Mus musculus: one gene and its partner. The protein of the gene in region 1 interacts with the protein of each later gene in a pairwise test. Links are inferred from orthologs where the notes say so. Each region holds a gene or a part of one and is shown on either strand. Other genes may lie near its edges.

Region 1 (5,791 bases):
ATCCGGGAGGTTGGCGGGGGAACGTTTGTACTGACTTAGGCTTACATCATTTTTGGAAGCAACATTTACCAGTGACCGTTTCTAATGTTAGATTTCGAGACCCCGGGGGAAGTATGGGTTCACAAATTTTAAATAGTTAATGCACGGAAGGTACTGTGTCTCGAATTTAAGCTAGCCCTATCCGTGTTTCTGTTCTGGACACTGCTCATTTGGCTACCAAAAAGAGGTCCTTTCTGGAAAGGTAAAGGAAAGAATTTCCATGGTGGGCGGCAGTGACTCTTTATTCCTACACTTAGTGCATTCAGGTTGTGACTTTTCATTAAAGTGTATTTTGTGGGATCACTATATGATTTAGAATTTTGCTCTTGGAATTGTTGAAGAAATGAGAAGTAAATTGGAATCTAGGGAACTTTAAAATTGAGCGAAAGAAAACTGGGGAAATATGAGGAAGACCAGCTTGAGGAGTTGTGACTGCTAGAAATCCTGCCGTGACTCCAGACTGCAGCAGGCAGCAGACATCGGAAGCGCTTGGCTCCCTCCATGTGCTGTGGACGCCCTAGTGCTCACTCAGAGTAGGAAGTGAGTGTGCCTGTGTGCTAGGCGAGAGTTCATAGGACGCTGTTTAGACACAGATTGGTCTTGGGCTTAGTGATTCCTGGTGGTATTGTGTTTAAGATAGTTTAAGCAGCAATTAGGCAGTTTTCTTCAGATAATTTTATACCATGATCAGCTGGCAAATGTTACAAGTGTAGTAGATCAGGGTGGGAGGGTGCTAAATAAAATAAAACTTAGTGGCTCTTTGATAAGAGTATATACATTAAAAAGCTAGAATATAATTACACTGACATGACTCACGATTCTGGAAGTATGCTTATAGGCATTGTAGGTCCCGGTCCCTAAACTGACCCGCACCCCCAATGCGCATTCCTGCATGCACACTAGAGGGAAAGTTGCTCAGGTGTACATCATTTAGTGTCGTTGGGATCTAGGGATCTTTGGCCAAGGAGAGTAGAGGTGGGTCTCTGGTTTTGTACCCCCTGCCCTGCAGCTTAAAGGTGGGTTTTTTTTTGTTTTGTTTGTTTGTTTTGGGTTTTTTTTTTTTAAGGAACTGGTGTCCATATATGCTTTGATCTTACTTGAAATTGGAATCTTCTGAACAGGTGGAACGCGCAGTTAATTTCACAACCTACTGTTAATATGCAGACTAGGCTAGTTTTCTGGTTGGTTGGGGTTGGGGGCTGCCTTTTAATTGCTCAAGCTGGTTTGAGGTACTGGTGTGCCTTATTTATTTATTTACTTATGACAGGTATGAGTATGTATTTTTCACAGGCGTTTTCTGAATGTTTTTCTTCTTCCCTTTACAGAATATCCAGTTATGGATAAAAATGAGCTGGTGCAGAAGGCCAAGCTGGCCGAGCAGGCAGAGCGATATGATGACATGGCAGCCTGCATGAAGTCTGTCACTGAGCAGGGAGCTGAGCTGTCGAATGAGGAGAGAAACCTTCTCTCTGTTGCTTATAAAAACGTTGTAGGAGCCCGTAGGTCATCGTGGAGGGTCGTCTCAAGTATTGAGCAGAAGACGGAAGGTGCTGAGAAAAAGCAGCAGATGGCTCGAGAATACAGAGAGAAGATCGAGACGGAGCTGCGTGACATCTGCAACGATGTACTGGTAAGAAAGAGTCTGTGAATCTGCCTCAGCTTCACGGGCGCCTTCACAGGGCCTCTGGTGCATTTTAGAAATTGGCTGTTACATAGATTAGAACTTGTCATCTAAAAGGTGCTATGGAACAATTGTAGAACGTTTCTGTAAAGTAATGAAAAACATTACTTGATGGTTTGTGTTTCTGTAGCACTAGAGCTGATACTCATAAATATATGTGGTATGGACTGTCTAGAGCCAGTTCCTGTCTGGATTAGCCGGTATAATAGAATGAGTCCTGGAGAAAACTGGATTGCAGTTGCTTGTGTGGATTTATTTGTTGTAAGTCAACTTTGAATGTTAACAACCAATGAAATAATCTCAATCTCGGCTTTCCAGGTTTTACAAGTGCTTAAGTATTTGGCACCTACTGTGTTGAAATACTTTGCTTCTAGGAGCTAAAGAGATTAAACAGTACATTTGTGTGGATTTCCTATTTTAAAAAATAATACGTTTTTTGTTTGTTTGCTTTTGTTTTGTTTTTTTTTTTTTTTTTACTAAGAAAATTTTGAGGGTAAAATCTAATAGAAGACTAATCAATTATTTTTCTAAGGCAGAATCTGTTTTACAGCCCAGACTAGGCTTAAACCTCACGTTGTTGGCTCTGCTGTCTTGGTCTCCCAAATGCTTAAAAGTCACTATGTCTTGCAAATTAGAATTCCTTTAAGACTATTTTTATTGATAGAAAAGTTTTCTAAATTGTACTTTTTTTGTTCTTCAAGGTGTTTTCAAGCTTTTTAAAGATTTAACCCATTTTAAGATAAAAACAACTGAGATCACAGCCTACTTAAAAAGCTTTTGCTTTGGGTACATTTTTATTTGTTTCTTTATATAATAGATTGTATGACTGCCATTTTTCCAAGGTTGAAAATTGCTATATTGAAGGTAAATCATATACCTATTTTAAAATTATGTAACTAAGAACATTTAAAATTGGATAGGTATCCACTTCATAATAATAATGTTTTAGGTATGTTTCTGCTTTTCTTGCTTAATCTGTTTATCACTAGATTTTATTCAGCCTAATAGGTTTTGTGGAGTTTTTTTTTTTTTTTTTCCTCCTAAGTACTGGTTTATATTTTGGTTTTGAAGGGTATAGTTAACAGATTGTACTTTCTCCTAAGAGGTAAAAGGGACATGCTAACCTCTTAGGCTCTTGCTGCAGCTCCAGGTAGGTGTTTGCATGTTTTCCATGGGCAGGCTATAGAGAAGTTCTCAAATTCTTGTGGCTTTTCCCAAGGAAAGACCAGGTGGTTTCTACTGTCTCCTTGGTTTCCTTATGAAGAAAACTGAAGTTATCTCTAAATAGCCTCTATTAAGGGTATGAAGGGGTTCTGGTCATTTCCTGCCTGCATGAGTGTGTCTCCATCAGGATGGTTCCAGCTTTTCACAAGGTCTGAGTCAGGGGTTCCCCTTGAAAGCTTAATTTCTTTCCCACACATGTGACTTAGAGAATTGTGAACAGGTTTTTGCCTCTAGTCTTGATCTTTTCAAAAGTACAGCTCTGGTTTATTACATATTAATGCTCAGATACCATTGAAAGGTTTCTTGAGAAAGAGGGCTATAGAATTAGGTCAGCAGTCCTGCTGGCATTCCAAGGCTTTGTTTTGCTTTTCAGCTTGAGAAGGCTCAGTAAATAAAGTGGGCTTCCTACCTGGCTTTTTCAAAGAAGCAGTGGTGACTCAAAATAGTTTTTATAAAATTCTTTCTTCCCTTTCTAGTGAAATAGAAGAGTAAAATTAGCCAAGACTTAACCTTAGTGGGGAAAATGCACCATTGTGCTTTATGAAATCTTGAGTGTGGTTCTTTCGCTGCTGTTGACCTATAGCATCAATGTGAGTAGAACTTAATTGTTCTAGTTGTTTGTATTAGCTGAGAAAAAATACTCTTGAACACCCCAGTCTAGCTATATGCCTCTATCAAGTGCTTAATGTGTATCATTTTAAAAGGAGACGTTTTCTTTCTTTTTCCTCTTGTTGGGAGTTGCAGTATTGACTGTGTAGACCAAACTCCCTTCATAAGTGAGAGGCCCCAGTCATTAGAGATATCTAATCATTGTTCATAAACCCAAAAAATACAGTCCCAAGTGGGGTAGTTCATGTAAGTCATAATACAATAGATTAATAATTACTAAAAACCTATTTCAGACTTTAAATATATTGTGATATGGAAAGCTGAGGGGCTGGGTTTTTTAATTTAAACTAGTTTTACAGTAAAAGAAAACTTGAGTTCAATTTAAAAGGAATAATGTGTGTGTTGCCCATGGAGTTGTTGTGGGGAGGAGTGAGGTGAAGCTCTTTGTGAGGTGCAGTTGTTACATATTTTATCTCTAGCCCTCAGAATTACTATTTATTAACTAGTGCAGGAACAAGATAAGAAACCAGGCAGCTTGCTTTTGTGTGCGTGTGTCAGTATGTGTCTTGGACTTAAAAAATTGCTATATAGTCTTTATGTTAGCTGAAAATAACTAAGTGGCTCCTATTCAGAGAAAAGACTTCACAGAAGAATATGGTCATTGGAACCTATTTTACTGCTTTCTAGATGAGTATATATGTGGCATTGTCATGTGTGGCTTTCAGTATTTTAGCATTGAAAGAACTAAGATGACCAAGTAGATTGAGTGCCGTCCAGGAAGAGTAGCAGGTAACTGTAAGTGTCTTTGGTAAGGTTTCTCATCTTATGAGACGGTACTCAGTGAGGAGTTTCATAGAGTTGAGAAGTCTGAGATGAGAATGAAGGGGGTGGGGGAATATGCTGAGGGGGAGGAGGTGGTGCTTGTTTGGGGTCCAGAATAGAAACACCCAACACTGCACATCACCTGCAAGCAATACCTAAGGTTACCTGTAAGACAGAGTGTGGGCATGTGCAGACAAGACTTGAGTGGGGCAGGGTGAATTCAGGTGAGAGCAGGATGAAAAGGACCACAGGAGCCTTACAGGCTGAGGAGAGGAGATGTGTCACTTCTGAACCGACAGCCCAGCCCTTCAACCTGTTCCAGAAAAGGCATTTATACGCCTTGAATTTAAATTCAGTCAGTAGGAAATCAACCATGTTGGGATAGAGGTTTTGTGTTTTGTTTTTTGTTTTTTTAAACATAAGCACATTGATTTATCGTTGCATGCGGTGATCATAGTTGGCTTTAAAGATTTATCTTTAACTAAAACAGATATGTGTCCAATTGCCTATTATTCATATGACATTCAGATCTTTGCTTTCACTGTACAGATGAGTTCAGAAATAATTTCCTTGCATATTCCATGTTTGTAAAGTGTATCTTCAATAAGATGGGAGTTTAAAATGAGAACTTAAATGTGTGATAGGCCATGTGTGATGGCATAAATTTGACAACAATAAAGCTATAAGAAAACAATAAAAGCCTGTGATTGCTTTTAGAAACAAGGGACATTGGAGTGGTTAGAAAATCTAGCTTGCCTCAGACATTGTATCTAAGTTTTGGGCATCAGTGTTTATCATGAAATCAGCTTAAACATTCTTCTCAATTAAGTAAAGTTTAATTTGACATATTAAATGAAGCTTTCTGTAAGAGCTGTTCTATCAGCCATTGTTGAATGTTAGTCAACAGAAAGCCTTTGTATATTTTTAAAAAAACACCACACACAACCAAAAACCCACTTTCAGTAATTTCCCCAAGAGCTGGGACTAGGAGGAGAAATGGGCAGGGCCAGATCTTGAATGTTAGAGGACTAAGAACTCTAAAAGTCACCAAAAACCTTTACAAAGAGGTGACACAAACTTTGTACGGAGTAGAGAAAACATAATAGTGGTTGTCTTAGAAGAACTTCAGATCTGGTGACTCATACCTTTCATCCCAAGCACTGAAGAGGCAGAGCCAGGCTGAGGTTAAGCCCAGCCAAGGCTACAGAGTGAAATCTTGGCTAGAAACAAAGCACTCCTCTCCCACCTGTACCCCCAATAAAGAGAGAATGGTGAAGAAACTATATTAGTTCTTTTTCTCATTGTAACTTTGGGAAGGGAAGGCTTATTTGGGTCCACCATTTTGAGTACAATCATTTGGGGTGACAGTAGTTCAAAGCAGCTGGTCCCGTTGTGTCTGTAGTCAGGCAGTAGGGA
Region 2 (5,791 bases), on another chromosome or scaffold:
TGGCTTGTTGGACCCAAGGCAGCTGAAGAAACCACCTCTTGAACAATGTTCTAGAGCATTCAGTTCCCAGTCTGTGTGTTCAGTTAAAGTGATGGTGAAAGGACCACCGGACAAAAGGCAGAACATCCATTATCCAGCAGGCCATCCCCCAGCAATCCCAGAGAACGTAGTTATCATAGCAGAGTTAACAAAGGAATCTGTCTGCGGTTCGGGTTCTTTAGAGCCGGCCGTGAAGAGGTCAGCAACCAACGTAAGAGCAGCGACGGGCAGAGAAAAGCGGAACAACGATGGACACTGGTTCATCTGTTTTCTGTGTTAGCCAGAGAACCCCCACTGACTTATCTGAATTTCAGGCGTGCACATCTTAGGCTCTGTGGATCCCTCACAGACTCAGAGTGGCTCCCTGCAGCTCTATAACCACGTGAGAAAGCTTTCTTTATCTAGCTTGGTGGCAGCCAACACAGACTCCACGTCCAAGATTTCGGAACTCAGCGCTTCCTGCAGACTGGGCATCAGCTCCTCCCCTTCTATGTTCATTGCATCTCCTTCCAGTGTGCCAAGGTCCACATTTGTCCCAGGGAGGGCTTCCAGGTAGTCGGGGAAGCGGCTCTGCTGTGACGGCAGGGTGCTTTGGCTGATGGTGTCTCCTAGTTTTGAGGAGGGATGAACAAATGTTCTGTGAGAAGCGTCAGAGCTGCCTGTGTGAGCGTAGCTATACCCACACCAACTGAAGCACACAGTGTCAGAGCTGCCTGTGTGAGCGTAGCTATACCCATACCAACTGAAGCACACAGTGTCAGAGCTGCCTGTGTGAGCGTAGCTATACCCATACCAACTGAAGCACACAGTGTCAGAGCTGCCTGTGTGAGCGTAGCTATACCCATACCAACTGAAGCACACAGTGTCAGAGCTGCCTGTGTGAGCATAGCTATACCCATACCAACTGAAGCACACAGTGTCAGAGCTGCCTGTGTGAGCATAGCTATACCCATACCAACTGAAGCACACAGTGTCAGAGCTGCCTGTGTGAGCGTAGCTATACCCATACCAACTGAAGCACACAGTGTCAGAGCTGCCTGTGTGAGCGTAGCTATACCCACAGCAACTGAAGCACACAGCGTCAGAGCTGCCTGTGTGAGCGTAGCTATACCCATAGCAACTGAAGCACACAGTGTCAGAGCTGCCTGTGTGAGCGTAGCTATACCCACAGCAACTGAAGCACACAGTGTCTACCTTAGAACACCACACACAGAGATCACTTGGTAGCAATGCCAAGTCTCACGCGTCTCACCACTTCACAGACATGCAATATAAATATACAGCCTGGCTGCTTATCACAAAGTGTTAACTGACAGGCTATGAAACTTCCTTGGAATATGCAGCAGTGAAAAATGAAAACCACGCCTTCTTTCTTTCTCCTAGAAATGCACCACCATTTCTAGGTAGTCAGCATGTCAAGATGCAGCACCTTTTGTCTTAAGTTGTACTCCGGGACACTAACATTAAGCACTACAGACTCATACAGGCAACAGAAGAACAGCATTCCCAGGAGTCCTTGAAGACATGTGACCTCCCCAGACTTCTTTCTAAATTTCTTGCACTTACTGCCCAGAGCGCTTTTATCTATCCATGATATTAGCACTTCTTGGAGCTTTTGCCAGAACTTATATTCAGAAAAACAAACAGCCTTAAGTGCTACAAGGGGGCTGAAGAGGTGAGACATGACAGTTGGTGAGAGGGGCCAGGATGGGGCTAGGATGAGGTAGGCCCAAGTGGCTCCTAAACAGGATTTCTGATCTATGTAAACTCAGAGGAAGCAAGCGACAAGTTCTCAAAATCTCACCTTCATGTGTCAGATAAAAGCCGGCATGAAAGACTTCTGACACTGTGGAGAAAATGCATCCCTGTTCTGTGCTCTCCTCAGCCAAGGCAAGGAGGTCTTAGCTCCTCAATGCTTGTACAACTATTTCAACCATAAAGTCTAAGCCCCCTCCCCCAAATATGGTTTGCTAGCCCTGTAATACCTTAAACAACTCAGCTGAACCCAAAGTATTCAGAGAAAAGAAATAAATAGTGGATCACAAAAACGTATTAAAAATTAAGAACACAGATCTAAAACAAAAGAGTTCTAATAGGCCCAACTAACATGTTAAAAGAAAACAGGGTCAAACAATGGGCATGGTGGTGAGTGTCTGAAATCTCAGCATTCTGAAAGCAGAGCAGGAGGGTCACAAGGTCAGCATGGGCCACGGCAAAAACCTCATCTCAAAGGAAAACCCAGTGTGTCAGCTTGTGCCTGAATCCTAGAACTCAGGAGCCTCTAAGCTCCAGGCCAGCCTGTCCTAGCTACACTGTGACCCTGTCTAAGAAGGAAGGGAGGAGAAACACAACTAGTGATTATGTGCAGCCGAAAGGGAATCAATACTTGCCTGTATCCATTTCATCCACACTGTTGAGGAAGTCGTCTGGGGTCCGAGGGATGCTGTAGCTGCTCATGCTGAGGCCGCTGTCTGTGCTCTCATCTCGAGAGTGATAGGTGCCACTAGGAAAACAGTGAGAAGGCACGGAAAAGTTCAATCAACTCAGGGCAAAAATAAAGATGTGTTAAGCATGACCAAGATTGAGAGGAACAGCCAACAATCCTTGCCTTGCAGTGCCTCTGCAGAGCCCAACAGCCTCTGTACTGGAATCGGACAGATACACTGATCCTAACTAAAGTGGCAGCTGCTAAAGACAAAGCCATCTAAAGGTTCTGAGCTTGGAGAGAAAAGAAAGTGACAAGTCCCATTAACTATTTTGAAGCTTGGGGTCTCCAAGGTCTCAAGTCCCTCGGCCGAGGGGTCAAACCTGCATTAGGCTCATGCTCACTTTCCAGCTCCCAAGACGCCCAAGTTAAGCCATGGACAGCCCAAAGAAAGAGCCAGAATGTCTTTTTGACAAAATAGTCAACTCACTGGAGATAAAATTCCCACAACTAGATCTTCTTGCTTCTGTTGGGGGAGGGAACACCCCAACACCTCAGCACAGCTAAGAGGCCCAAGCTTCAGAAGAGAAGGGAGGTAAAGCAGAGAGAGGGCCTTCAGGAGAAACAGGAGGCAGCATGCATTGTTACTTAAGGCTGAATGCAAACTCTCAAGATTGATTCAAGAGCAGCAGAAAACAGCCTTGAAGCTTCCTGAAGAGGATACTTTCCTAAGTTATGACTGAAAATAGCTGCTATCAACTGGAAACCTAAATTCTACTAATACTAAAACCAACCAGCAAACCAGTAACCCCCACAACTCCAAGGGCAATCGCTACTCTTACCGGCTTCTGACCACAAATGTAGACTGGCTCTCTCACATGATGGACATTTAAAGTGTTTGTTAAAAAAAACAAAACCCTTACCAGATCCCAGCCCAGCAGTACAAATGTTTGATCCCAACCTTCTTCCTAATTAACTGTTCAATGCATTTGGTCCGTCCTCTCCTTCACTCTACATGATAAACACTGTTTTATGCCAACGACTCTGAAAAATTCAGCAGCCTCATATAAATCCAAGAAACATAAACTTGCCTGAGACTGTTGGTATATAACACAGCCATGTATATATTAGCCCAGGATGCCTGTTAGCTTCTACCGTGAATGGCAGGGACACTGTTCCCACATAGGGACACACAACAGACATTTGAGTCTGTTAAGCAGGTGACTTTAGACAAACCCCACCCCCAGTCCCAGAGAAGGCACAGAGGAGCCCACTGTGATGTACAGATAGTTCTTATTGTTTTCTTGGCAAAGATTGCTCTCCACTGAATCCCAACTAATTAATGCTGGCCCCTCACGCCCCTGAGCATCTAGGATAACCTGGCAGGCACCAGAGCAGCTCAGGGGACAAGGGGTTAAGATGTTTAAAAAATATAAACACATACACCATGGAACCACACCCCTGAGCTGTAGCAGCAGCAGCTGAGGGAGTGAAGAAGGGCCACTAACGTTATGTTTTAAAATTTTGGGTGGAGCATAGCATTCCCCCATCCTTCACTAACATCCTTGGGGGTAAGATGCTGTCTCTGCTTGCTTTTACAAAAAGGCATTCACTCTATCCTTCAAGACTAATTTTTACAGGCAGAAATAAGCATGTTGTGGCTTTGACCGAGATCCCTGCACAAGCCTGAACAGCTAGTCCCCTTTAATCCTTAGCTTTGACTGTGCTTGGCACCTGTGGAGAGATGGTTGACAGCTATGGGTTTTGGCCCACACGGATGTTCTACACAGCCATAAATCTCAAAGCAGAACAACAAAGCAAGGGTCTGTTCCAGATACTGGCCAGCATTCTCACTAACCTGTTAAGAAAGGGATCGGAACTATTGGTTGTCATTGTTCTCAATTCCTGAGACATCCCAGGAGAAGACACTGCATTCGGAGTCCCTCCATCCTGCTCCAGTGTAGGCAACTGGCTGCGCAGAGCTAATTCCTTAAACAAACAAACAAACAAAAGTAAAGAGAAAGTCTGCTGATTTACAAATTTATTGTTAGATTTAAAAGAGATACACAATACCACAAAAGGGGTAAATAGACACAAAAAAGGTAAAACATTAACATATATTTAAAATATTTTCTAATTAGAATAACCAATTTCTTCTATGCATTTTAAGTGCATAGAAGAAAGTAAGCTGGCCAGGCAGTGGTGGCGCATGCCTTTAATCCCAGCACTTGGGAGGCAGAGGCAGGCGGATTTCTGAATTCGAAGCCAGCCTGGTCAACAGAGTGAGTTCCAGGACAGCCAGGGCTACACAGAGAAACCCTGTCTCGAAAAAACAAACAAACAAACAAACAAACAAACAACCTGCAGACACTAACCCTCAAACACACATATAATTTATTCCATCTTACTATTCTTTACTTGCAAAGACCCCCAAATTTTCCCTTGGGACAGTTGGGCTTTAATGACAATTCTTAGATTTTGTTATTACTTACCGGCTCTGAAGGTTTGGGGCCAGCAGTGAAAACAGAATGGAAAGAACATGTGTGATTTGCTGTTAGACACCAGTCCCCCAACTCCCCACTGCTCACACCAAGTCTTACTGTCTTAGGGACTTCCTCCCAGAACTAAATAGAGCTGTGTTCTCTCCTCTGGGGACGGCGAGTCTGGGTTAACATTTCTTCAGGGATCAAACAGTGCTCAACAGAATCCTACCTGGAAATCTGCCTGCCACAGGCTGATGACAGGCCTCAGAGGTGCTTCATTCAGACATTGTGGACCAGGGTCTCTCACCAGTGCCCTCACCACCCTACCCTATAAATCGTGGGTTTGTTTCCTAAGCAGATGTCACCCCTGCTTGTTTGTGCACAGGCTTTTGCACTTGGTAACTGACTTGCAAGATGGAGTTTTCTATAAAGCATGCTTCCAGGTCTCTCTGCAGTTTCCCAGGCCCAAGGCTGCCTTTAAGGCACAGCTTCCTCCAGCCCCTCGAGCCACATCTTCACTCAGGGCCCAAGCCAGCAACACTTCTATTATACGTAAGTACACTGTAGCTGTCTTCAGACACTCCAGAGGGCGTCAGATCTTGTTACAGATGGTTGTGAGCCACCATGTGGTTGCTGGGATTTGAACTCCGGACCTTCGGAAGAGCAGTCGGGTGCTCTTACCCACTGAGCCATCTCACCAGCCCCCCAGCAACACTTCTTACTCTACACAGCACTGCTATGGTGTCTCCTCTCTTTTATTCAGGCTTATTTACATCCTCTGGCCTAACACCCTTCACACTGGGGCTTCTTACCTGGACGTGTACTGAGGACTCAGGTTTATGAA

Evidence for each region. The genes of interacting proteins can lie anywhere in the genome.
Region 2: the proteins of Ywhaz (region 1) and Yap1 interact in binary tests that used the Homo sapiens proteins (3 or more experiments, as listed by UniProt). The link is inferred for Mus musculus from reciprocal best matches to the Homo sapiens genes YWHAZ and YAP1.

What each region holds. Positions count from the first base shown.
Region 1 is NC_000081.6:36,786,562-36,792,352, reverse strand, and holds part of Ywhaz (14-3-3 protein zeta/delta), read left to right. Parts: intron 1-1,364; 5' UTR 1,365-1,375; coding exon 1,376-1,669; intron 1,670-5,791.
Region 2 is NC_000075.6:7,934,086-7,939,876, forward strand, and holds part of Yap1 (transcriptional coactivator YAP1), read right to left. Parts: intron 4,454-5,791; coding exon 4,323-4,453; intron 2,543-4,322; coding exon 2,430-2,542; intron 648-2,429; coding exon 412-647; 3' UTR 1-411. UniProt on the Homo sapiens protein: Transcriptional regulator with dual roles as a coactivator and corepressor. Critical downstream regulatory target in the Hippo signaling pathway, crucial for organ size control and tumor suppression by restricting proliferation and promoting apoptosis.